Mus musculus: one gene and its partners. The protein of the gene in region 3 purifies or fractionates together with the protein of the main gene of each other region. This does not show direct contact. Links are inferred from orthologs where the notes say so. Each region holds a gene or a part of one and is shown on either strand. Other genes may lie near its edges.

Region 1 (3,500 bases), on a different chromosome or scaffold from region 3:
TCTCTGCCTCTCTCCTTCCACAGTGCTCCCTAGCCTCTCTCCTCCCACAGTGCTCCCTAGCCTCTCTCCTCCCACAGTGCTCCCTAGCCTCTCTCCTCCCACATTGTTCCCTAGCCTCTCTCCTCCCACAGTGCTCCCTAGCCTCTCTCCTCCCACAGTGCTCCCTAGCCTCTCTCCTCCCACAGTGCTCCCTAGCCTCTCTCCTCCCACACTGCTCCCTAGCCTCTCTCCTCCCACAGTGCTCCCTAGCCTCTCTCCTCCCACAGTGCTCCCTAGCCTCTCTCCTCCCACAGTGCTCCCTAGCCTCTTTCCTCCCACAGTGCTCCCTAGCCTCTCTCCTCCCACAGTGCTCCCTAGCCTCTCTCCTTCCACAGTGCTCCCTAGCCTTTTTTCCATCTAAGCTAGTTCCTCCTAATTCCCCCACCTGTCTAACCCTCGCTCTTATTTAGAAACCCCATTCACTCCTGAGGGAAACAGAAGGTACCAGGTGGTTTCATGTCCGATCTCTGGGACCTTAAGTACCAAATCTGGCTGGAGGTTGAGGTCCAAGCTCCTTAGCATTGAGGGTCTGTTGCCTAGATGGGTAGATAGTTCACAACAGAGGGGAAAAAGATGGGCGTTGTCTGCTAAGGCCATCTGTGATCACACTGTGTCCTCCAGATTGTGATCGCCACCCCGGGGCGCCTGATCGATGTGCTGGAGAACCGGTACCTGGTGCTGAGCCGCTGCACCTACGTGGTTCTGGATGAGGCGGATAGGATGATTGACATGGGCTTTGAGCCAGATGTGCAGAAGATCCTGGAACACATGCCTGTCAGCAACCAGAAGCCGGACACAGATGAGGCTGAGGACCCGGAGAAGATGTTGGCCAACTTTGAATCAGGAAAACATAAATACCGTCAAGTAAGGCGGCTTTCTTGGGAGAAGCTGAACCAGTTCCCAAGTCTTGTTTGCAGACCTTCCTTGCCCAGGGAGGGCCCAGTGCACATGCCTCCAGCATGCTAGCCGTGCCTGTGTACAGTCCTCTGACTGCCGAGGGGTAGAGCCATGTAGCTTAGCCTAAAAAGCTGATTCTAGAGAATCATGCTACTGCCAAGGAAGGAAAAAGTGCCAGGCATAGTGGTTCCTGCCAAAGCCCCAGCATTCAGGGGGAGGTGGAATATGGGGACTGAGCTAGCTTGTCTGATACGTGAGCTCCAGGCCAGTCAGATCTATGTAGCAAGATCCTGTCTCAAAAAAGTAAACAACAGTAAGGACTGAGGGGCTGGTGAGCCAGCTCAGGAGTGAGGAGCACTGGTTGCCCTTCCAGAGTTCAGTTCCCAGCACCCACTTGGTGGCATCTAGAAAGGGCTCTGATGTGTAGGTGTACAGAGAGCGCTCATGTATGAAAAAAAAAAAAGCCGGGCGTGGTGGTGCACGCCTTTAATCCCAGCACTCGGGAGGCAGAGGCAGGTGGATCTCTGTGAATTTGAGGCCAGTCTGGTCTACAGAGTGAGTTCCAGGACAGCCAGGGCTACACAGAGAAACTCTATTTTGAAAAGACAATAATAATAATGGTGATGCTGATGTCAGGAATCAAGATGCTACCTGGATCACAGGTGGTAGCAAACGCTCCCAGTCCTTCCTAGCAAGAGACGAAAAGGCAAAGAACAGTTTCCAGGGTGACAGTGTGAGAGTTATAGCAGGACTCATGGTTTTAACCTGAGTTGGGCTGCTTGTGCTGACAGTCTGCCTGGGTCCAGGGCTGAACCTCCTGTTTTATAGACAGTCATGTTCACGGCTACTATGCCCCCAGCGGTGGAGCGTCTAGCCAGGAGCTATCTTCGGCGACCTGCTGTGGTGTACATTGGCTCTGCAGGCAAGCCCCATGAGCGGGTGGAACAGAAGGTCTTCCTCATGTCGGAATCAGAAAAGAGGTATGGGGGAGGCTGAGCGGGGAAACCTGGGTGCTTTTGTCTGACACTTCCCTTTGTGGGGCGGCTGTCGGGTGGGTGCTTTACTGTTTCCTTTCTTGTAAGGTCTCTGTTGACTTTGGAGTTCATTCATTGCTGGGGTTGAGTGTTGGGCTTACTGAGTCTGGAGGGTATTGTGTACCTCATTCTCCTCCCCCACCCCCAGGAAGAAGCTGCTGGCCATCTTGGAACAAGGTTTTGATCCGCCTATCATCATTTTTGTCAACCAGAAGAAGGGTTGTGATGTGTTGGCCAAGTCTCTGGAGAAGATGGGGGTACGTCTGGCAGGCAGAGCAAAGCCAGCCCTGGTGCTGCTGCTCTCTGAAACTAGGAATGGAGTGGGGAGTGTCGGCTCCACTCACTGTTTAATCTTTACACCATCTAACAAGCCAGGGCCAAGAGAAAGGAGTGAGAACTGATCAGTTACTAGAAATCCCTTCTAGTCCCGCCACAGCAGCCAGATGCCGTTCTCTGTCTAACAGGGGTGGGGCCGGGGAGGCAGGTCCTGGCATGGCAGAGTGTGAGACTGTAGACAGCGGGTCTGTGCTCAGATGAGCACCATGAGGATGGAGAGGGGAGGGGTGCCGATGACCAGGCCTGTACTGCTAACGAGGGAAAGGGACTGTCCTCTCTACTCAGCTCCTGCCATCCTTACCCCCTAGCCCGTTACCTCCCCACCTGCTTGGCTCTTCATCTCAGCACACTGGGCCTCTGTCTCTGTTCTACCTGCCCCCCCCTACCCCCAGAACGCCGTGTTGTCTTTCATTTCTTGCTCTAGCTCCCATGTTCTTTCCTCACTTCACTGAACCCCTTCTCTGGCTTCCTGTGCCCTCTCCTGCCATCTGCTCTCTCCCACCTTCTGCTCTTGGACCTCCCTGGTCCCACTCCTCTCCCTGAGCCCATTGCCTTCTACCTACAGTATAACGCCTGTACACTGCATGGCGGCAAAGGCCAGGAGCAGCGAGAATTTGCATTGTCCAACCTCAAGGCTGGAGCCAAGGATATTTTGGTGGCTACAGATGTGGCTGGCCGTGGTATTGATATCCAAGATGTGTCTATGGTTGTCAACTATGATATGGCCAAAAATATTGAAGGTGAGTTGCTGAGAGGGTTAGGAGAGACTGCTTATATTCTCTCTCAGAGTCAGGGTGCACTGGGAGCCTCTGCTTTAGTCTGGAGTGACATCCCAGTGTCAAGGCTGACCCTTGATGGTGTGGAGAGTGGTGCTGGCTAGGAGAGCCTTAGTGTTGTATGCGACAAGTCGGCAGTGGGGTGGAGGATGGGCAGAGTCGCGAGCACTCTGGCTTTACCGGGTGTAGACAGCAGGAGGTGGGTGGCTTGCCTGTGGAGTGGAGTGGGGTGGAGGTCTCTGTAGACCAGACGACTGGCTTGGTCCCGAGTGACATCCTCTGTTCCCCAGATTACATTCACAGAATTGGCCGCACAGGAAGAGCGGGCAAGAGTGGCGTAGCCATCACCTTCCTCACCAAGGAGGACTCAGCGGTGTTCTATGAACTGAAGCAGGCCATCCTGGAGAGCCCAGTGTCG
Region 2 (4,119 bases), about 47 Mb from region 3:
TAAACTCACTCCAATAATCCTAGCACATGAAGATGGAGGCAGGAGAGTGAGCTGTTCAAGTTCCTTCTCAGGTCAGTCATTCCATGACTCAGCAGGTAAGAGAGTGTGTACAGCTCTTTCAGAGGACCAGAGTTCAGATCCCAGCAACCACGTGTAACCCCGACTTCAGAGTATCTGGCACCTCTGGCCTTTGTGGGTATCTGCACTCATGTGCCCAAAACCACAGAGATATAACAAATAATTTCTAAAAGTATTTTTAAGAGTGTTTTCTGCTCATGCTGAGGACCAGGGGTTGACTTCTAGCACACATGTCCAAAGGATCACAACGGCCAGCTCCAGGGAATTTTAGGCTGAAGCCTCCCCTGCACCTATACACAGGTGGGCATGTACATTAATTAGTAAGCTATGATTTAAAAAAAATACGCATATGATTTCGTGCATTTAAGGCTTGGCACTGTGAGAGGCCAGGGATGGTCACTAGTGAAGGTGCAGCCTCAGTTGGAGTTGATGGCCTAGGGCTGAAGGGGTCATCACGTATACACAGGTGGGCATGTACATTAATTAGTAAGCTATGATTTAAAAAAATATGCACATGATTTTGTGCATTTAAGCCTTTGGAGACAGAGGCCAAGGCTCTGCAGGTATATTGTATTCACTGTGGGGCACTCATCACATGGCAATTTCTGATATGTGTATTCCCCTGCACTTCGTATGAATTTTTTTGGTGTTGTTTGTTTGCTTGAGATAGAGTTTCTCTGTGTATCCCTGGTTGTTCTGGAACTGGCTCTGTAGGCGAGGATGGCCTCTATCTCCGAGATCCACCTCCTTCTGTCTCCAAACTGCTAGGATTAAAGGCATTCTCCATCACAGCTAGTCAATATGAATATCACTTATGGTTTATTTTATTTGTGTGTGTGTGTGTGTGTTTGCGGTTGCCGGTGTCTGAGGAGGCTAGAAATGGACGGCAAATCCCCTGAGGCTGAAGTTACAAGCAGTTGTCAGGTGTCCAGACGGATATTGGAATGCCAACTCAAGTCCGTTACAAAAGTTGCAAGTGCTCTTAACCTCTAAGCCACCTGACCAGCGCTTTGGTATGAACACCTAAATGTCTACAGGCTACAAGTTCACCCTCAAGCTTTAAGGTGACTGTACCAGGTCAGAAGGGTTCTGTTTTAAGGCAATCCAGCCTACGGGTCCTGCCCCTTACCTGCGGAAGCCCAAGTTAGACATTTAGGAACTTGACTTTCAGGAGACTTCACAGTCTCCGCCCCTTGTTGGGTGGAGAAGGGAGAGTAGTCCCAACTACCCCTCCCTTGAGGTTCACTGACGTGAGACAGAGCATCCCTCGCGTGTTCTTATCTTTTGGATTAAAAAAACTGGAATCTGGGCTCCCCACACTCCCAGGCACGCTCAAGCCCAGAACCCAGAAGCAAAGACACGGGGGCTACGTCTTCGATTGCTTTAGCCTGGCGGTCGAGCTGCGCGGGGATACGATTGGTGCTGTCTGGCGGCGAGGCGCGGTGCACTGTGGGACACGGCACTGGCGGGAGGCGCAGGCTGGTGTCGGAGGTGAGGGTCCGCGGGCTGCGACAGGATGGTGAAGCTGACGGCGGAGCTGATCGAGCAGGCGGCGCAGTACACAAATGCCGTACGGGACCGTGAACTGGACCTCCGGGGTGAGTTAGACGGAGCGCGGGCTGTGTTCCGGCCCCGGCGCGTGGCTGCGGGAAACCAGCCCCGCCGCGTGCGCAGAGGCTGGAGCCTGGCCCGTGGGCCTCCACCCGGGCTGGGCGCCTCCGATCCACCGTCCCGCAGGGCCCTTTGGGGCTGTTTGTTACCGGCGTTCCGGCTAGCAAACACGGCGCCTCGATTCCTTCCCCGGACCGTACTCACTAGGCATTGCCCCGCTCATCGAGCAGCTTTAACTGTTGGAGGACTAGGAAAATAGAAAACGCTACGGACAGGCCGGCTGCTGGCTGGTGTTTTTTGTTTGTTTGTTTGTTTGTTTGTTTGTTTGTTTTTTAGCAAAAGCGTTAATGTGGCACCTGAGGGTAGGGTGGATATGTACCAGAGTTACCTTAATTGCCCCAATAATTCCGGTTTGGTTTTGTTCATTTGTTTTTGAGACAACGTCTCGTGTATTCCGAGCTGACTTCAAACCGTTATATAGTTAAGGTTTATCTCGAACTTCGGACCCTCTTGCCTCCACTTCCTGGGAGCTGGGTTTAAATGCCTGCACCACGTTTATATGGTGCTTTGGATGAGCCCAGGGTTTCATGTCTGTCAGGAAAGCACTCGCGCTACTGAGCCAGACCCGCAGCCCCGGATAATTTGGTGTTTTCAAGATTGAGCTGTTTGACCGTGGCATAATGGTCACTTCTGTGTGTGGGGTGGCGGAACTCACCTGTTCAGTTCTGACAGAAGTAGCACTTGATTTTTAAAACATAGAACTGAGAGGTAATCGTTAACTATTCAGGAGATGGCTTTGGAAGGGGTTAAGATTATAAGACTGTGACCAGAGGCAATCAAAGTCTCGGGGGCGCTGTGCACTGCCATTTTTGAAAGTTTCTTCCTGCCTATGGGAAATCCTAGTGTTCTTTGTGTTTGTTGAATGAAATTAACTTTCTTGGAGAAAAGTCCGGTTCAGGAGCATCTGGGTCCTTTCACTGTCTTGGCACAGTTTTGATGTCTGCTGTCTCTCTGAAAACCGTGCAGTCTGGAGAATGCTTATTCTGCTACCATATCTTTTATTGCACTCCTTCACAGCTGGGTTGTGTCCTTCCTTATAGTACCTAGCTCAGTGACGAATGTGAATACCTCATAGACGTTCTTAATAAACCATGGGCACCAATACTAGTAAATATGCCCATCTGTTCTTCCTCTTGCCTTCAGCCTCTTCAGTTTTACTTCAAGCTTTGTAGCACTAAGGCCTCCACTTAACCCTTTCGTCATTTACCTTATTTTTGTTCAGTGCACGGCATGGTGCTAGTGCCTGGTTAATACTTCCCGAATGGGAGCGCTGAGTCAAATTCCATCACATACTCCTGCGATTTTCAGGACTTTTCATTTATATTAATATTTGTTGTATGTATGTTTTCCCTCTACAGGATATAAAATTCCGGTTATTGAGAATCTGGGTGCCACCTTAGACCAGTTTGATGCTATTGATTTTTCTGACAATGAGATCCGGAAACTGGACGGTTTCCCTTTGTTGAGAAGACTGAAAACATTATTAGTGAACAACAACAGAATTTGGTGAGTGACTGCTAGTGAGAATACTTTCTTCCCTTAAGTAAGTGTTCTAATGTACCCTGAAGATAATGGGGTTTTGGTTGTTGTTTTGTTTTGTTTTAATGTATATTAGTTTTTTGCTTGCAGGTACCACACACCCTCCTAGTGCCTCTGGAGGCCAGAGGAGGGCCTTGGCTTCTCTGGAGCTAGGTTTACAGATAGTCCTGAGCTGCTCCAGCTGTAGGAATAGAATCTGGGTCCTCTGGAAGATCAGCCAGGGCTCTAAGTTGCTGAGCCACCACTCCAGCCTGCCCATGTGTCTTAAAGGGAGAAATGAATAGAGCCCTTTTCCTAAGAGGTTGGAGATTAACTTGGGCATTGGCCTGACCTTACTTGCTACTCTTCAGAAATCTTTAATATTCGTAACTGACATTAAACTTTGAATTTGAAGCATTGTGCTATGTCAACAAATCAGATTTTAGAGTAGTCATCAATAGCATCATAATTAAAAAGATTTATAAAGGCCATGTGTAGTGGTATCTGCCTTTAATCCTAACACTCTGGAGTCTGAGGCAGGCTGATCTCTGAGTTCAAGGACAGCCTTGTTGACAGCAAATTCCAGCCAGGGCTACATAGTGAGACCCTGTCACAGTAAAAATCTTTTTATGAAATAAAGTTACTTTTCACTGAGTACCTATACCTCATCCACTATGCTGGTTTTGGTTTTTGTAGTTGGTTTCTACAATATAATTCTGTGAAATTAAGATCATATTTGTTTGTATGAGTGGGGTTTCTCTGTGAGCCCTGGCTGTCCTGGAACTCACTCTGTAGACCAGGCTGGCCTCAAACTCAGAGATCTGCCTCCCTTTGCCTTCTGAGTGCTAGGAT
Region 3 (3,983 bases):
ATGAGTGGGTTCCGCAGCACCACGATGACCGAGTCCCCGCGCAGGAACATCTTGGAGATGTAGCGGTCCTTGTTGACAGGCTTGGATTTCTTCTTGCCCTTGCCGCTCTTGGGAACCTCAGTCCACATCTCCTTCACATTTTCCAGCACCATGTTGCAGTGCCTGATGGGGTAGGGGTGGGGGGGGAAGCTGGAGTAAGGGGGGGCATTCCGAGTGCCCACCTTTGCCTGGCACTGTGTGAACTCTCCAGCAGCAGGCATAAGGAAAGCCCAGGCTCCACAGTGGGGATGGGCAGGCTGCAAAGTGATTTCACTTTATAGTGTCCCTTCTGTGCCTCAGTTTCCCCCTTCATGAAATGGAGACAGTCTATTTCATAGGGCTGGTGTGAAGATTGGATGAATAAAGAACTCAGGACCCAGCAGAGTAAAGCCCACCAAAATGGCCCTGGCTCTGGCGTTAACTCTAACTCTGAGAGAAACAGCAGGAGAGAAGCACTTGCTCCCTCCAGAGGGTCTTAGGGTGCTGGGGTTAGACACGGCTCCCAACACGCGCACTCCAGTGCTGCACAGTCCTGTCCTCATGGGGCCGGGTGGCCATTGTTCACACTTGGATCAGTTCTTTCCACAAATGCTTGCTTGAGGACAGTGAATAAGAGCAAAGTACAGTGCCAGATGTGTATGGCTAAGTCACAAGGCAAGTCCCATGCTAACTAAAACAATAAAGCAGGACGGCATGCTTCATGCAATCCTGTAATCCCAGCGCTCGGGAGATGGGAGCAGGAGGATTAGAAGTGTAAGGTTAGCCTCTGCCACATCTGTAGCCAGTTCGAGCTACATAGTAAAGACCCTGTCTCAAAACAAACTACAAAGCAATACAAGATATTTGACACTGATGTCTGGTCTACAGATAAACAAATCAAATATCGAAATTCCAGTCCAATTTCCTGCCAGGGGATTCTGATAACTACTAGACATGTCCATAGCATACAGACTCATATGCAGACAAAACACCTAAACACGTAAGATATGTATTATAAAAAGGTTAAGCATCGCCACTTTCTACATTTTTGAGCTAGGTCGTGCCATGAGACACTGGCTGGCCTCCAACTCATAGTGATTCCCCGAGTGCTGAGATTAAAGGTGCTTTGTCACCGTGTGTGCCCACCTTATTATCCTTCTGGAATGACCTTTCCTTCAGGCCCCTCGGACCCAGACCCAGCCCTCCCCAAGACAGCACTCACCTGTCAAAGGCCTTCACCCGGCCCAGCAGCTTCTTGTTGTTGCGACAGTTAATGAGCACTTGCGTGTTGTTCTTGACCGACTGCGTGAGCACTGAGAGGGGACCTGTGTTGAATTCCTCCTCCTCCCGCTTCTGCAGCTCCTCTGGGGTCATCTCACTCTTGGGTTTATTGAGGAGACTCCTGGATAGAGAACCCAGGGGTGAGATGGGTTCAAGTTGGAAATGTACGTGATCAAAGCCACACTGTCCAGTGTCTCCCCAGCCCCCTTTCTGGTGCAGTCTTTTCTGGAGGCAGGAGAGACATTTCCATGGTAGCCTGCCCCGGCTCATCTACCTAACCTCTTCCACCCACCGCTGACCTTGAATTCTCAATTCTCCTGACTCCACTGCCTAAGGTCTGAGATGACAGAGGCTCACCATCATGCCTGGCAGTTGATTCTTCTTTCAAACCTTACTCTATCCTTATATCTTGTCATCTGCCACCATGGTACATCCAAACCTTGGCCCTTTCTATCCGCAACCTAAACTTCAATCATCTCTCTCCATGAACCTCCGCCCCACCCCACAACATCTCACTGTAGAAGCCTGGCTGCCCCAGAACTCAGACTTGTCTCTGCCTCCTGAGTATTGGGAGTACAGGCACGTGCCACTATGTCTAGTTTGTGTGTGGTTAAGGACCAAACCCAGTACCCACAGTAGGTAAGTACTCTGTCCACTGAGCTAAATCTGCATCCCAAGAACTGGGCTTTCAATGCATCCTACTGTGCTACCTACTGGCATTATATCTTTCCTGCTCAATTCTCCATCCAAACCTGATTATCTAAGGTGTATGTACCTATTTATTACTCTATGGCTTTCCTACTCCACTCTTTTTACAAGCACCAGGGAGATTCCCCCACCCCCTTGGAGGCAAGGACCTTTTATTTACCATGTGTCTTAACTTACAAGCAGTCTACATAGTATATGCTCAATGAATAAACACGCACCAAACCACTGTAGTACCCTGCTACTCTGACAGTCTCTAGTTAGGTTCTCTAATTTATCCTGGTTACGTCCCATACTTTTCACTATTTCTAACAGTTCTTCCTTCCCCGCCAAGCTCTTTATTCATAAGACCACTTCCATTTAAAATTACTATTACTTTTGGAAGCGGTCTCGCTATGAAGCTGGCCAAGGCCAACTAGCGAACCTCCTGCATCAGCCTCTCGAGGCCTGGGATTCCAGGCATGTGCCATCAGACTCAGCTTTCCCTTTATGGTTCCTTTCCACAAGACTCAGGACCTCGGAGAGTCTCATGCCCGTTATGGAATAAAGCTGTCCCCTCTCCGGAACTCAAGATCCGAGCGAGGCCCCAAGCCCGATCTCAAATACCCCAGAAGGAAAAACATTACTTTTGCCCGAGGAACTCTACCCTCAGCTATAAAAACACCCCATTTCGACCGTTATTCAGCTAAACTGTCCACCTCCATCTCCACGGCCCCGCCAAAGCCCAGCCCGGCCTCACATGGTGTAGGTTTCGCTCGCAGATCACTCCCGCCTCCAAGCGCGTTGCTCCAGCCTTTGGCGTACAGGGCGAGAAGGGCGGGACTTCCGTCTCCTGCGGCTCACTTCCGTCGGCGCCTGCGCAACCAAATACCAGCGGCTGTGGGCGTGGCCTGTTACCATAGCGACCCTTCAGGCTGCACTCTCCTGTAGAAAATGCCTATAAGGAGGATTTGAAGCTTCTGAGGATCACAATAGGGTGTCTGCTCATGAGGAAAATAATACGGGGTCTGACTAGAATTATTTTCCCGTCAAACCGTCCAGTTGGAAGATGGAAAACACAACCCCATTTCCAAATACCCTCGGACACTTTTCTTGAGGGCATGGCTTCAGGTAAACCAATCGGCTCCTTGTTTTAGGGATGGATGCCGCCCCTTTTTTCCTTGAACGACAGTTTCTTGATCGACTTCCGTGAGGGGCGTGACCCCGCGCCTTGGAAGGTTTCGCACATTCGGACGCAGCCCATTGACTGGTCCTCTTCCGTGGAGGCGGGCCTTAAGGTTTCCGCCCTCCTTTTTGGGTGGGGCGGCGCTTAGGACAGCCAATCGCAATCGTCTCAGGGAAGGACGCAGTTACTCTGCTTCTTTATTGGGTTTTGTAACCTCAGCGAGGCGGATCTTGGCCTAAAACTCAAACCACCATACCGGGATTGGTTTCAGAGCAAAGCTACCATGAGTCCCGGGAGCCGCGGGCGGCCCCGGCAGCGGCTCGAGGATCGTGGCCTCATGAAACCACCCTCACTTTCCAAGCGCCGTCTTCTGCCGCGAGTGCAGTTCCTGCCCCTGCTGCTGCTGGCGCTGGCTATGGGCTTGGCTTTCTATATCGTCTGGAACAGCTGGCACCCTGGGGTTGAGGAGATGTCACGGAGCCGGGATCTGCGGGTGAGCCCTGGCTGGTGCCCAGCCAGCGTCATTTCCCTCTTTCCCTTCGTATTGAGTCTCAGGTTACCGTGGTCTTATCATTTGGCTTTTGCCGCCTGTGCCATTTATCCATGACTTGAGCGCGTGCCCCTACCCAACAAAATAAGGCTTCAGGCTTGTTTTGTGATAGACCCCACTGAAGATGACGAGTCCTCATAGCAACACTGGTAGAACTGAGTTCTATGCCCAAGCCATCTATTTAGAAATTTCCATCACCCGATTGCAATTTCCTCGTTAGGACTGCGGTAGGCTGGACCAGATTTGCTTTGAAGATTTCTCCCA
Region 4 (3,305 bases), on a different chromosome or scaffold from region 3:
AAGCAAGAATCCTAACTCCCAGTCTTAAAGTTTTAAAGAAATATACCAACCAGTTAGTTAATTCTGTTCTGTGCAAATATGAGTGCTAAAATCTAAAGTCAGTATTTTTCAAAGTATAATTTAGGCTATCAATTTGAAAATCAAAAATCAATTTTAAATGGCAACATTACAAAGTCTAACAATAAATACTTAAAGAAAAAATGTTCTTTCCAACTCTTTTTTAAGATTTGTGAGTCTGCAATGCTTGTAGCTATGTGTCTGACAGTGAATGTTCTTCCTAGCTCTTTATGAATCTTGTTTTTAAGATCTGCGGGTCTGTGTGCTTGTCTCTGTGTCTGTGTATACAGGTGAATGTGCCTATGCACACTGAGGCCAGGAGAGACATTAGATCCCCAGGGGCAAGAATACTACTTGGCTTGTCACGTGGGTGCTGAGATCCAAATTCCTGTGCACACGATTGCACAGGAAAGGCTTTTAACACTGAATCCCTTCAATAGCCCACTTATCTGGGTTTGAAATGTGATCCAGAGTTAAGCTAGCAGACCATTAAGAAACAGTCTTCCTGGGCTGGCGAGATGGCTCAGTGGTTAAGAGTGCCGACTGTTCTTCCGAAGGTCCCGAGTTCAAATCCCAGCAACCACATGGTGGCTCACAACCATCCATAATGAGATTTGACTCCCTCTTCTGGAGTGTCTGAAGACAACTTACATATAATACATAAATAAATCTTTAAAAAAAAAAGAAACAGTCTTCCTAATACTGAGCATGTTCCAGCTAACAAGTGAAAAATTACACTACAGCATATAAAACAAAGGAGCTCACTGACCAAAAATTCCTTTAAATCTTTTCTATTAATCCAGCAATTAACAAACTCTGTGGATGAACATTAAGTCGATTCATGGGTGGGAGGTATAGCTCAGTAGGAGAGCACTTACACATATATATAAAAGGTCAAGTCTGATGGTAGGGGAGCAGAGACGATAGATCAAAACTCAGCTAGTCTTAGCATGTTTGCTTTCTATGCAGCCTATAACGACCTAAAATGTAGCATATGCAAATATGGCCTTAAGCCCATGATCTTCCTGCCTCTGTCTCTAGAGGACATGCAACACCATACCTTGTTTAATTTTTAAGCATTTTAATAATGACTTGATTATATTGAACAAAATATATCTCAAGACAATGAAGATAGAGTTTATTTTGTAGTATTAAGTTCTTTGCAAGTATAACTCAGAGATTTTAATTAAAAATTTAAGTATTTCTGATCACTGATTTTCTAAATTATTACTATACACCAAGTTACTCCTTCAAAACAAAACATACACAAAAAAAAGAAAAAAAAAAAAAAACAGGAGATTGACATCACACTCTTGAGACAATTTGAGAAGTGATATTTTTCTCTCATGACATGGAAGGCTTCAAAGCAATACATTAAACAAAAACAGAGTGCTGAACTTGCCTGAAATGCATTCAGTAGGAAAACCTTTAGAAGAAAGGATATCAGCCAAATGTTGAGCTCTACAAAAAAAGAAAAAGATTTACAACCTTCAACTACTGCCCCATGCCCTAGTCTTTAGGTTTTTTAAGTTCCCTAGATTAAGTTCTATTACCTGCTGTGCAAATTAGAAAACACCAAGGCTTGATTAAATGGGACTTTACTAAAAAGTTCCTGTAAGTGCTGAGTCTTTTCCTCAAAAATCTTATGAGCCAAAGGGTAAGAATTGACAACTTGGTAGTACTGCTTCAAACCTATAAAGAAGTCAAGAGTCCCAGTTAAAACAAACAAGTGTGGTAAATTCCAATAGCAACTATGACATGGAAATAGCCAATCAGACGAGGGAAAGCCCCAGGACATCACAAACTAATAATGTAAAATCTATACACACCTATGAGACTTGGATCGCTGGGATTCAATCTTACAAAAGTGGGATCTCTCATATACCTTGTCAAAGCATTAGCCAAAACTTCAGGGTAAGTAGCAGATACTGCCAACATCTGCTTACTCGCAGGTAAAGAGGAGTAAATCCAACTGTAAAATACAGGAAAGCACACACCATGAACACACACCATGCAGACAGCACACACTACCGGGAAAGCTATAGAGAAATGCTTTGGTGCAACATTTTTGTATTCAGGCTAGTTTTCTTACTTTATTTGCTCCTGGAAACTGCCTTCTTCTAAAAGCTTATCTGCTTCATCAAGAATAAAGAGACGGATACTGCCCGGATTCAGGTAGTCAAGTTCTATGAGCTGTTTAATTCTACCTGTATGGCAGGAAAACAACAAAACCTGAAATACTTATGACATATCAAATCTGTACAAACCTCAGGAATGCTTTACAGTATTTATCCACAGGTTAGACTGCTTAATTTCCTTACAGTGTACCGTTACATACCACCTAACGGTCTAAGTAATCTTAAAGTCTGAATCCATTCTTTGTCCCCTCCCTTTTCATCACCAGTAACTTTGGTAAACAAACATTACTGCTAATAAACAAACATTACTGCTACCAAAATACTTGAATGCTAGCTGGGCGTGATGGCACACGCCTTTAATCCCAGCACTCCTGAGGCAGAGGCAGGTGGATTTCTGAGTTCAAGGCCAGCCTGGTCTACAGAGTGAGTTCCAGGACAGCCAGGGCTATACAGAGAAACCTTGTCTCGAAAACAAAAACAAAAACAAAACTTGAATGCTATGGCACTGAATCCTAGGTTCTGATTCTGAGTGATTTGTGAGCAAATAACCAGAGAGAACAAAAGAAACCTCAATCCACGGCTTAAACAGGCTTCCTAAAGTCACTTCAGGTCTCAGAAGCTGATCCCATGGGTATTCTCCAACACTCTTCAGAATGGAGAGGAACAGATTCTGTTGAAAACCCAGCCATGTGTCTCTCTGGTCTAATACTCTTCCATTTATGCTGAAAGCAATTATCACCACCATCAAAACTCCCATTTGATTGGCATGCTCACTGTTCTAGTCTTCAAGAACTTCAGCTACCAAGAGGTCTTAATGACTTACCAGGAGATCCAACAGCAATATGACACTTTTTAAGTCTGGTTTTGTCTTGTGATAATGGAGTCCCTCCAATAAAGACATGACATTCTAATCCTTCCATTTTTATTCCAATGGCTGTGATAACCGAGTGTATCTGAACAGCAATTTCTCTTGTGGGAGCCAATATCAAAATCTAAAATAAATTGCAAAACATTCTAACAAGTCAGAGGAATACATTTGAGTGGTACATCCATTTGTTGCAATACACTACATTTTAAGAGATGAGTTTTAAGACAAGAGAAAAATTCAGC
Region 5 (3,500 bases), on a different chromosome or scaffold from region 3:
TCTATCTCTTGTGTATCACACGCCCATCAATTCTGACTACTCTTACATTGATGAATGGCCAGCTATGCCAAAAAGCATCCTTTATCCCAGGATCCAGCACTGGGAATACAACACAGTGCTAGCTACCCACCAGGTCAAGAGCAAGTTCTAGACAGCGCAGGAGTCAAAAAAAGGTTCTAAGTAGACTGTGGGATGGGGAGTTTGTCCAATACCTGAATCCCACAGGCTGCCACACAGTTCAGATGGTATCTTTACCAACTTTATATTGGCTTCTGGGCATCAGAACGATATAAATTCAACCAAAAGGAAGCAAGGAGAAGGTGGGGGAAAGCCTGAGCAAAGAACCATGCCTAATAAAGGTCGCTCACTTTTTAAATGAAGACTTCTCTGACAGCCTAGAATTTGGCTCAAGGCTCATTAATTGCCTCTATGATCAGCCTCACAGCCAGTACCTGCCCAACTAATCAAGGAGAATGAAGAACTGACAGTCATGTGAAAGCCACCTGATGCCAAAATGCTACAAGAGATTAAACAGAGCACGCTGGGTCAAATATGTGCCCATAATTTCTGCCATACTTTGTAAACTTTTAAGTGTACTTTTCCTATAACTATTCTGAAATAGGGAGAAAATACAGAAGTTGTTTTTGTTCCAGATCAATAAAGACACTAAGGAGTAATAGCAAAATGAGAATTGATCAGCTCAGACTAGTCACCAACTGGAACAGACAGCTATACAATTTCCTGAGCCTAAGGATGCACAACTAATTATTGCACACAGAATGAAAAAACGTGCCTGGCTTCTTCCAACTGCTTTTCTCTTGCTTTCCTTTTAGCCTTCTTTCCTTGAGTATTGGCCAGACGGGCTCGAGCCTCGGAGAGCATCTCAAGTTCATCTGCAAAATAAAGACAAAAAAAAAAAAGTAAGCTCCTCTCTGACATCAGCAGTCAGGCAAATCCTAGGGCTCACAATGACAAAAGCATCCATGCACTAACTACTGTACAGGGCACAGAAAACCTGGAGTCAGAGCAAGTCAGGTTACAAGTCATCCCATCACTAACTTACTAGTTTGTAAGCCTGGTCCCACATTTATCTCTGCGAACGTTTCCCATTAAAATCAGAGTAAGAATGTCTACTTCAGAGATGCTAAGAAAAATGACGTATCTCAAGCAAGCAGCAAGTATTCACTCACAGAAAGCTCTACTACAGGAACATCCGAATCACCAACACAGCAGCAGCAGAGAAAGAAAGCAACAACTCATCCCGGGGAACAGACAACCTTCAAAGACATTCCTTCCCTCAAAACTGTCTCTTCTCTAAGACATTTCTACAGCTCTCCCGAATAGAACAACAACATAAGTGTCATAATGATGGACAAGACTTAGATTTCACTCAGATCACAGTCCTCTCTCTTCCCTCAGTAAGAATTACCAACTTAGTATCTCCAGGGGAGGACCTGGTGCCTGTAACTTTAAAAGTTCCCCAAGTGGAAAGGATGTAGAAAGCATCTTCACAGACTAGTCACTCTTGGGAACCGCTGCATTCAAACTTTAAATCTGAAAAAAACTACCAAGTACCCACAAAAAGGTAAAGTAGATTTTATTCTCCACCCTCAGCAGGGAAAACTCAAGGTCAGAAAGCATATATGACTTAGCTAAGGTCAAATAGCTAATAAATAGCAGAGATGGAGCCAAAGCCCAATCCCCAACTCTTGACTCCATGTGTCACAGACTCACTGGGAGCCTCCAGCACAGCTCTTGTAGCACAGCTCTTTCCTGGAAAGGAAATCACCCTAAAGTCAAAGAAACAGCAAGGCCCGACATGCTAGCTTGTCGCCTCTCCTTCTACAAAGGGAATGAGACAGGATCCTTCGAGGCTCACGCCTCTAGGACATCTGCCTACTTCACTGCTCGATTCATTAAATGAAATGAAGAAGCAGAAAATAAGGGGCATCCTCAAAAAAACAGTCTAATAAAAACAGGACCAGACACACTCGGGGAGATGGAATAACCACTGACAGACACACTCGGGGAGACGCCTCCTCGAATAACCACTGACAGAACTGGGTCTCTAACAGTCAGGACAGGAGAACCAAGAAGGCCTGAGTCCTGTACAGTGAGCTGAGCACTCCCCAGCATCCACTCACCCTCATCCATGTCTATCGGGTCAGGCCGGGCTGGCTTGGTCTCTGGGTTTGGATCTATCTCTCCAGGCTTAAGCTTTCGGGGGTCATCTGTTGTTTCTTCTTCATTGTCCCTTTGGGCAGTTTTGTCCCTTGAAGGGAAAAAAAAAATCACAGATGAGTTAGTCCCGTATCACACCATTTAGTATGAGAATTACCGAAGTTCTAGCTCTGGCACTCTCTCCTTCCCAAAATAAACAACAGATGAGCACTATGGAAAACAGCATCTTTACAATTGCTTCCCGTGAATAAAACGGCATTAAAATTCTCTAATTTCGGTATTTCCACGCATGGTGAAACCCAATGACAAGCAGCCCTTCCTCACAAATGCAGAACATCCAGACAAACACACTGCTGGAACAGAACAAGAAGGTCCTAATAAACTCTCAGCAGCCCAGGCGATGGGGCCTCGTGCACAAACACACACACTCACACACTCTCTCTCTCTCTCTGCCCCCTAAGATGAGTGTGACTTGCACACTTCTAAAGGAGAGGCAGAAGACATAATTTTATTCAACCATGTGACATCTGGAATACAGAATTCGGGGACTTTAGTTTCTATGGCTTTAGTCACAAGCTGGAAATGCTCTAAGTTTGTTCAGCACATTAACAAATGCACAGTTTTCACTCACAGGAGGAACTCATAGTGTTCCAAGCACTGGGCTGCTGTTCTTCCTATGATCGGAGCAATGGTCCTCCACTGCGTTGGCATCAGCTTGGCCAGGTGCAAGAGTTTTTCTTCCTCTTCTCTGGACCATTCAGTTTTTTTAATACTTGGATCCAGCCATTCGTACCTATTAAAGGCAACATCGCAAACGTTAGTCAATTACCATGTTCTGACTCTAAGATCACATGCTCTCACCCCTCAATCACCAATACTATCTCTGACAAGAGAATTCATTGTGAAGTTAAACTTACTCTTCTTCCCCTCTTCACATTACAATGTATTTTAAGTACGTAAGATTGGTAATACTTAAAAACCTAATAGACTGAAGTGCAAAATGCAATCATGTGACTTCTTTAACTAGTATTTATTTGTTTAATCTTTTTTTGTTGTCATTTGGTTTGGTTTTTGTTGGTAACTGTGTTGTTTTCTTTTGGGTTTTTTTTTTTGGGGGGGGGGGTGGTGGTGAGGCAGGGTTTCTCTGTGTAGCCCTGGCTGTCCTGGAACTCCACCTGTAGACCAGGCTGGCCTTGAACTCAGAAATCCACCTGTAGACCAGGCTGGCCTTGAACTCAGAAATCCACCTGTAGACCAGGCTGGCCTGGTACTCAGAGATCTGCCTGCCTCCGCCTTCCATGCTGGGATCAAAGGCGTAC
Region 6 (3,500 bases), on a different chromosome or scaffold from region 3:
TCAGCCTGGAGGACAGAGCTTCACAACCAGTGTGCAGAAGCTTCTAGAAGCTGATGGTAACTTTATTTCTGCCCATGGTGGTTGTGATCGTGCACAGCAGAGATAATTATGCCCGCCCACTAACCCACAAAGAGAGGCTGGACTGCAAACCTTCTGGGGCAGCTGCTGTTGCGTAGCTTGCTGCTGCTGCTGCATAACCTTGGGGATGGCAGCTGAGGGCTCCTGAGCCTTCCCCTCCTTGAACTCGCTGACCTTGTGGCGGTAGTAGGCATGGTAAGGGTCATTGGGATTTAAGAAATTGAACTTGGGGTTGTTGATCTCATTCTGTCGAATCCTAGCTTCAAATTCAGGCCCATTTCTGTAAAAAATTAAAATAAGATAAACAACATACCAAAGAATGAATTCACTTGGGAGGCAGAGGCAGCAGGATTTCTGAGTTCAAGGCCAGCCTGGTCTACAGAGTGAGTTCCAGGACGGCCAGGGCTACACAGAGAAACCCTGTCTCGAAAAGCCAAAAAAAAAAAAAAAAAGAATTCTACAACCTCTGTGACCACTCAGACCCAAATCTCCTTCTATTTCACCATCTGTGCCACCACCCACTCACCAAGCAGTCCATGCCTAAGGATAGGAGAGCTGCCCTGGAGCACTGAGGAAGCTGTTTGTTTTTTGAGCATCAAGGAATCAGTCGGTGCCACCAGACAGTGTGGGCCTGGCTGCTTCCACCACAGCCGTTCCTTAGCTCCCCTGCCACTTCTGATACCCACAATCAGCTGAGCAACTGCTTAGTTCTTGTAATAAAACACTTATTCTTTGGCTAAGAATGCAGCATAACTGTAGAGTACGTATCTAAGGTCGAAAAGGCCCTGGATTGGGTACCAAGCTCCATAAAAACAAAAAGGATAAAAACCTTGAACAGCTAGTAAGTATTAATGTCTTGCCCAAGTACTGCCTAAAGTAACTTCATTTATGACTGGGAGGTTCACGAAGGAAAAACTGCTCTGCAAGATTTCTATCTTCTGTATATATCCTGGATAAGGCTACAGTGTGGTGGCTGAGTGCGTAAAGGTCCTTGCTGACATGATGGACACTCTGAGTTCTGGTTCCAGTTGGTAAAAGGGTGGGCGAACTGACTCTCATCAAGTTATACTCTGTCTGATCCATGTGTATGTGTGTGTCCATGTCATGCACACATACGGGTGTATACCCACACTAAAGAAATGCCGTACTCCAGGATAATGAAAATGTTTGGAGAATCCTGATATTTAGGGTCTCAGTGGATATAACTCAAGAACCATAGTTTTTTTCTCTTATTTGTTGAGATACAGTCTCCCAAGTCCAGGCTAAGGACTGGCCCTGCCAGGACTTGCCTACCTTTACTTCTAGGTGCAGTTAAGTGTGCCACCAAACCTAGCTCCGAGTATCACACTTGCTAAAAGGCACATAAGTCTTAAAAAGACACAAGATACCTTCAAGTTTCTTGTTCACTACTTTTTCCCATATGTCAAATGTGGCTAATACCACTTTTCCTCTGTATCTTCAAATACTGAAAACATTTACTTAAGTAGTATTTAAGGAGATGCTCAAGACTTTTTGAATACAATGGTCTGCAAACACAGAGGGCAGCTACCACTGTGTAGCTTAGAAGGGGCAGTTCCACCAACACTGGAGATGACTGGCCTATCAGGAGATACCCTGGGGGCTTCCCCTGATTCTCTGGCCAGAAGCCTGCATTCAGAGGTGCCCCAAATATACCAAGCCAAGGTTCCAGGGACTAGTGACAGATAGGCTATGCTTTCTCCAGACTTTCACACCCATGGTTCTGTCAATTAAACAGAGCAGCAGACAAGATGCAGGCAACTTTAAGGTTAAGATTAGCCATCACCACAGATCCAGAGGCAGAGACTGTGGAAGCCTTGGCCTCTAGCAAGTTCTGGTCCCGCCCTGTAGCGTGACTAATACATGAGGTCTCAATCTGACTGTGCACTAGGCCAATTAGAACCTCATGCTGTGGAAAGAAGCATTTCCTACCTCCCTATGTAATGCAAACCATACACAAGCAGGATGGATACAGCTCTGGGTCCTGCCAGATCAGGTCCCATGCCTGGAGGTCTGCTTGTCTCTTGCAGTACTGCCTCCTAAGCCATGGTCTCAACACATCAGGGAAGGCAGATGTTCTTATTCCAAGAAATTCCAGTGCTCTAAGTTGGCTTACTGTTAATTTTAGAATTAGATCCTCTAACACAAGAGACAGATTTCAGCAGAAGAGCCTGACTCTAACTCAGCCCAGCTGGCAGGGCTTTTTGAAGGTAATTTCCAATCTAGCTTTCTGAAAGGAAAATGCAGGAATGGGAAGACTCGACAGAGAAAAAGCTCCTTTTACAAAGTCAGACTTGACTGCAGATACCCACCGCCTGCCTCCTGAGTATGTGGCCTAGCAGAGGAGAGATCTAAATACCAGCTCTCTCAGACCAAGATTCTGACCTGCCCCTTAACTGTAAAACATGCAAAAGCAAGATCTGAATTTATTTGCAGTTTCTGAGGGGGCGGGGGGAAAACGCATGTGTTTATGCTCACATGGAGACCAGAGGCCTCCTGTATCATTTTCATTCTTAGTCTTTGATACAGGGTCTTACACTGAACCTGGAACTCACCATTATGGCACGGTTAGGCAGGCTGGCCAACCAGCAAGCTCCAAGGAGTGGCCTACCTTTACTCATCAGGGCTGGGGACAGACAGACAGACAGACACACACACACACAGGCGCACTCGCGCACCTCCCTCCCCCAAGCACCCCCCCTCCCCCAAGCTTTTCTGCAGTTGCTGGAGACCCAAGCTCAAGTCCTAATGCTTGTATTGCAAACATTATCCATGGAGTCATTTCAACTTCAGATTTTAGAATCCCTACAAAAATGATCACCACGGATAAAAAAACCCATCTGGAAACATGGTGAGATTTTTACACTACTAGAAATAGAAATCATATTCTATACATGGAAACACACACTCACTCTATCACTAAGCTACACAACCAACTCATTTATTTTTTGTTTTTAGCTTTGATTGATATAAAACTCACAAGACCAGAGTGGCCTTGAACTCACAGACATCTACCTGCCTCTGCCTCATACATTATGGGACTTGAAGGTATGTGCCATGACTGGCTGCAATCCACTTCGTTTTCCTTTTCTAGGAAAGGAAAGGAAAGGAAAGGAAAGGAAAGGAAAGGAAAGGAAAGGAAAGGAAAGGAAAATTGACTCTGTGTAGGCATGTGTACATGCATGTGTATTCAGATTCTGTAAGTTGTGAGTTGCCTGACATGGGTGCTGGGAGCCAAACTTAGGTCCTATGTAGGAGCAGAAAGCGGCCTTAACTTCTGAGCCACTTCTCCAGCCTCCATTTCCTGTCATTAAAACAGGGCCCACTGTGTTACAAGGCTAGTCTCTACCTTCCAATAGTCCTTTCTAGCACCAAGATTACAGGTATGTATCATGCCATGCCCA
Region 7 (2,405 bases), on a different chromosome or scaffold from region 3:
CACAAGGAATGAATTCTAAATCTTCATAAAGATGAATAAAAAATGATATCCCTCCAGTATAGTGTGTATAAGCACTGTCCTTGGTCACTACTGCCATTTACTGTTTAACATCAAAAAAACAAAAGTTATTTAAAAATCATGCTACTGGATTTCTATCCCTCCACTATGACCAGCTCTACACTGATCGGCAATGTTTTACAAGTTTATATCATCAGATTGAAGCAGGTTTAAGGTGTGAAACAGCTGTATTAGACACAAAGTTACAAGATATAGTCAAGTTCGTAACGAATATAGGTGTTCTTATCGTCATTGTAGATTCGTGGGTAATGTGCTATGAGAGCATCCTGGGAGCCAATGTAGATGGAGTTGTAAATTTTCCAATATACGTCTCTGACTTTCCGAGCTGGGTGGAACAGACCCTAGAATAAATAAAAGGTAGAGTTACTTCTATCTTCAAGGGGAAAATAAATAAATAAACAAACTTTAATACACTATTAGCTATAAATATGATGCATGGTGGCACACACATTTAAATCCTAGCACTTAGAAACAGAAGCAAGTGGATCTATCTACTTCAATGCTGGCCTGGTCTACATAGTAAGTTCCAGGCCAGCCAAGGCTCAAAAAATAAAATAAAACAAAAGTACTTACTTTGAAGAGGGAAGGAAAAAAAGTCTGGAAACTGAGTAACAAAATTGTGGTGGGTAAATACAAAATCTAACCTAATTTAATCTAATCTGTATCTCAATACAGAACTGTCTTCCACATGGTAATTAGGGAATGACTGACTTCAACATATTTAAGTAATTTTTTGAGCAATCCCCGCATTTAATAAAAAAAAAGTAAAAACCCACATTTAACCTACCTGTAAGCAATACTGCAACATTCTGCATGGTCCAATAGCAACCCTCAGGCCCTCCAGAGCTCCCATAACTGCCTGGATTACATGGGGAGATGTCTCAAACACATTAGGCCACACATAGTTCAGTAAGTGATTCAGAGAATCCTCACAGCCAAATCCGTAAACACCAAGTGACATGTGCTGCACCACTGCACTCGCTGTCTGTCTGTGAACAAGGTCCCTGTAATAATGGAAGGGAAAAGTCTCTTTAAATCAGTCCCATTTTTATATTCACTTGTACATGCGGAACTAATTACTCTCAGGAGTCAATCTCATTTTAAATTCTGTAACCTTAAATATTTGATAGTTAAGTCACAAGTCAAAATGAAATTTGTTCTCAAACTGGTATGATTTCATTCAAAAATTCAATTTAAGAGAAAAATCTACTAGGTTTTTAAACCTGCACAAATAAGAATTTTTATCTCTAGCAGCATCTGAATTTGTATCCAGGACATATCAATCTATTATTCATATACTGAGTGCAACCAAAATAGTGTTCATACTTTCTGCCAAAATATTAACAACCCCTCAAAGGCATTAGGAAAAAAATCTGAACACTATAATTTGCTATCTAACTTATTTAATGATAAAGTTTCAATGTTTCACAGCTGAAGAAGTATTCTTTTTAGTAATTTTCAAGTTACTACCTCAACTTGCACACTTTCTAAAAATTTCTTTAGAATTGAAAACAATCTCTAAAGCACAGTATTTTTAAAATAAATATAGAAGCAACAAATATTATGAACTTCAAAATTTTATGAACTTCAAAATATTATGAACTTGAAAACCTTTCTAAAACAGTTGAGATCTCAATAAAGAATGAATAGAAAATTATTCTGGTGATTAAATTTACATGAAAATTACAAAAAGATTTGACAGGAGTCTAAATTTTCTATAAATAAATTTGATATATTAACTGAGTATATGAGATTCAAATATATTTTGCAGTATAATATTCAAGAACCTTTTTTTTCTTATGAATAACAGCCCCCACAACAGAAAGTTTGCCAAATTTTCAATTCTACTATCACTTTTATTTGTAGTCAGTATGTGAAGAGACAAGTCATGTTTTCTTTTCACAAAATTCCATCCATTCAGAACAAAACTTTTAACCTCAAGTCCCACCTCTCAACAGTTGTAATGTTCAGGAATTCCTCACTAAGAAGCAGTCTAAGGGAGAAGCAAGGTGATTTACTGCTATTTTGTTTGGTCCCAGAAAGGTAGCCTTTTCAGACTGACTCCATAACTTACATCTGCACTTCCTAGTACCTCACTAAATCTGTTTATAAAATGACCTTTATGAAGGTCCCTGAGTAACTGGCTATACCAGGGACTGAATCTATATATGGGCTTCTTGCATGACAGAAATGTGCTTTACCACTGAATTACAACCCCCCACCTAACTCTCAAAATGTTGTTGTGAGACAGGGCAGGTGCACAGGTTGGCGTGGAAAGTTTCAATCCCCCAGCATCAGCTTCCACAGTAGTTGAGATTACAGGCTAC

The links.
Region 1: the proteins of Snrpd2 (region 3) and Ddx23 purify together in Homo sapiens (affinity purification with mass spectrometry; 3 studies listed by BioGRID and IntAct, counting the BioPlex papers as one, with this or other methods). This does not show direct contact. The link is inferred for Mus musculus from reciprocal best matches to the Homo sapiens genes SNRPD2 and DDX23.
Region 2: the proteins of Snrpd2 (region 3) and Snrpa1 purify together in Homo sapiens (affinity purification with mass spectrometry; 5 studies listed by BioGRID and IntAct, counting the BioPlex papers as one, with this or other methods). This does not show direct contact. The link is inferred for Mus musculus from reciprocal best matches to the Homo sapiens genes SNRPD2 and SNRPA1.
Region 4: the proteins of Snrpd2 (region 3) and Ddx20 purify together in Homo sapiens (affinity purification with mass spectrometry; 3 studies listed by BioGRID and IntAct, with this or other methods). This does not show direct contact. The link is inferred for Mus musculus from reciprocal best matches to the Homo sapiens genes SNRPD2 and DDX20.
Region 5: the proteins of Snrpd2 (region 3) and Cdc5l fractionate together in Homo sapiens (co-fractionation; 3 studies listed by BioGRID, with this or other methods). This does not show direct contact. The link is inferred for Mus musculus from reciprocal best matches to the Homo sapiens genes SNRPD2 and CDC5L.
Region 6: the proteins of Snrpd2 (region 3) and Sf3a1 fractionate together in Homo sapiens (co-fractionation; 3 studies listed by BioGRID and IntAct, with this or other methods). This does not show direct contact. The link is inferred for Mus musculus from reciprocal best matches to the Homo sapiens genes SNRPD2 and SF3A1.
Region 7: the proteins of Snrpd2 (region 3) and Sf3b1 fractionate together in Homo sapiens (co-fractionation; 5 studies listed by BioGRID and IntAct, with this or other methods). This does not show direct contact. The link is inferred for Mus musculus from reciprocal best matches to the Homo sapiens genes SNRPD2 and SF3B1.

The regions. Positions count from the first base shown.
Region 1 is NC_000081.6:98,645,890-98,649,389, reverse strand, and holds part of Ddx23 (probable ATP-dependent RNA helicase DDX23), read left to right. Parts: intron 1-660; coding exon 661-903; intron 904-1,764; coding exon 1,765-1,916; intron 1,917-2,118; coding exon 2,119-2,227; intron 2,228-2,871; coding exon 2,872-3,046; intron 3,047-3,372; coding exon 3,373-3,500. UniProt on the Homo sapiens protein: Involved in pre-mRNA splicing and its phosphorylated form (by SRPK2) is required for spliceosomal B complex formation.
Region 2 is NC_000073.6:66,059,017-66,063,135, forward strand, and holds the start of Snrpa1 (U2 small nuclear ribonucleoprotein A'), read left to right. Parts: upstream 1-1,319; 5' UTR 1,320-1,594; coding exon 1,595-1,676; intron 1,677-3,107; coding exon 3,108-3,255; intron 3,256-4,119. UniProt on the Homo sapiens protein: Involved in pre-mRNA splicing as component of the spliceosome. Associated with sn-RNP U2, where it contributes to the binding of stem loop IV of U2 snRNA.
Region 3 is NC_000073.6:19,148,655-19,152,637, reverse strand, and holds the start of Snrpd2 (small nuclear ribonucleoprotein Sm D2), read right to left. Parts: upstream 2,801-3,983; 5' UTR 2,746-2,800; coding exon 2,744-2,745; intron 1,421-2,743; coding exon 1,241-1,420; intron 163-1,240; coding exon 1-162. Other genes in the region: Qpctl (glutaminyl-peptide cyclotransferase-like protein), read left to right, coding at 3,453-3,662. UniProt on the Homo sapiens protein: Plays a role in pre-mRNA splicing as a core component of the spliceosomal U1, U2, U4 and U5 small nuclear ribonucleoproteins (snRNPs), the building blocks of the spliceosome.
Region 4 is NC_000069.6:105,681,267-105,684,571, forward strand, and holds part of Ddx20 (probable ATP-dependent RNA helicase DDX20), read right to left. Parts: intron 3,188-3,305; coding exon 3,019-3,187; intron 2,265-3,018; coding exon 2,150-2,264; intron 2,030-2,149; coding exon 1,887-2,029; intron 1,750-1,886; coding exon 1,611-1,749; intron 1,519-1,610; coding exon 1,460-1,518; intron 1-1,459.
Region 5 is NC_000083.6:45,423,708-45,427,207, forward strand, and holds part of Cdc5l (cell division cycle 5-like protein), read right to left. Parts: intron 2,975-3,500; coding exon 2,813-2,974; intron 2,273-2,812; coding exon 2,145-2,272; intron 894-2,144; coding exon 794-893; intron 1-793.
Region 6 is NC_000077.6:4,163,354-4,166,853, reverse strand, and holds part of Sf3a1 (splicing factor 3A subunit 1), read right to left. Parts: intron 359-3,500; coding exon 151-358; intron 1-150. UniProt on the Homo sapiens protein: Component of the 17S U2 SnRNP complex of the spliceosome, a large ribonucleoprotein complex that removes introns from transcribed pre-mRNAs.
Region 7 is NC_000067.6:54,987,074-54,989,478, forward strand, and holds part of Sf3b1 (splicing factor 3B subunit 1), read right to left. Parts: intron 1,083-2,405; coding exon 866-1,082; intron 420-865; coding exon 261-419; 3' UTR 1-260. UniProt on the Homo sapiens protein: Component of the 17S U2 SnRNP complex of the spliceosome, a large ribonucleoprotein complex that removes introns from transcribed pre-mRNAs.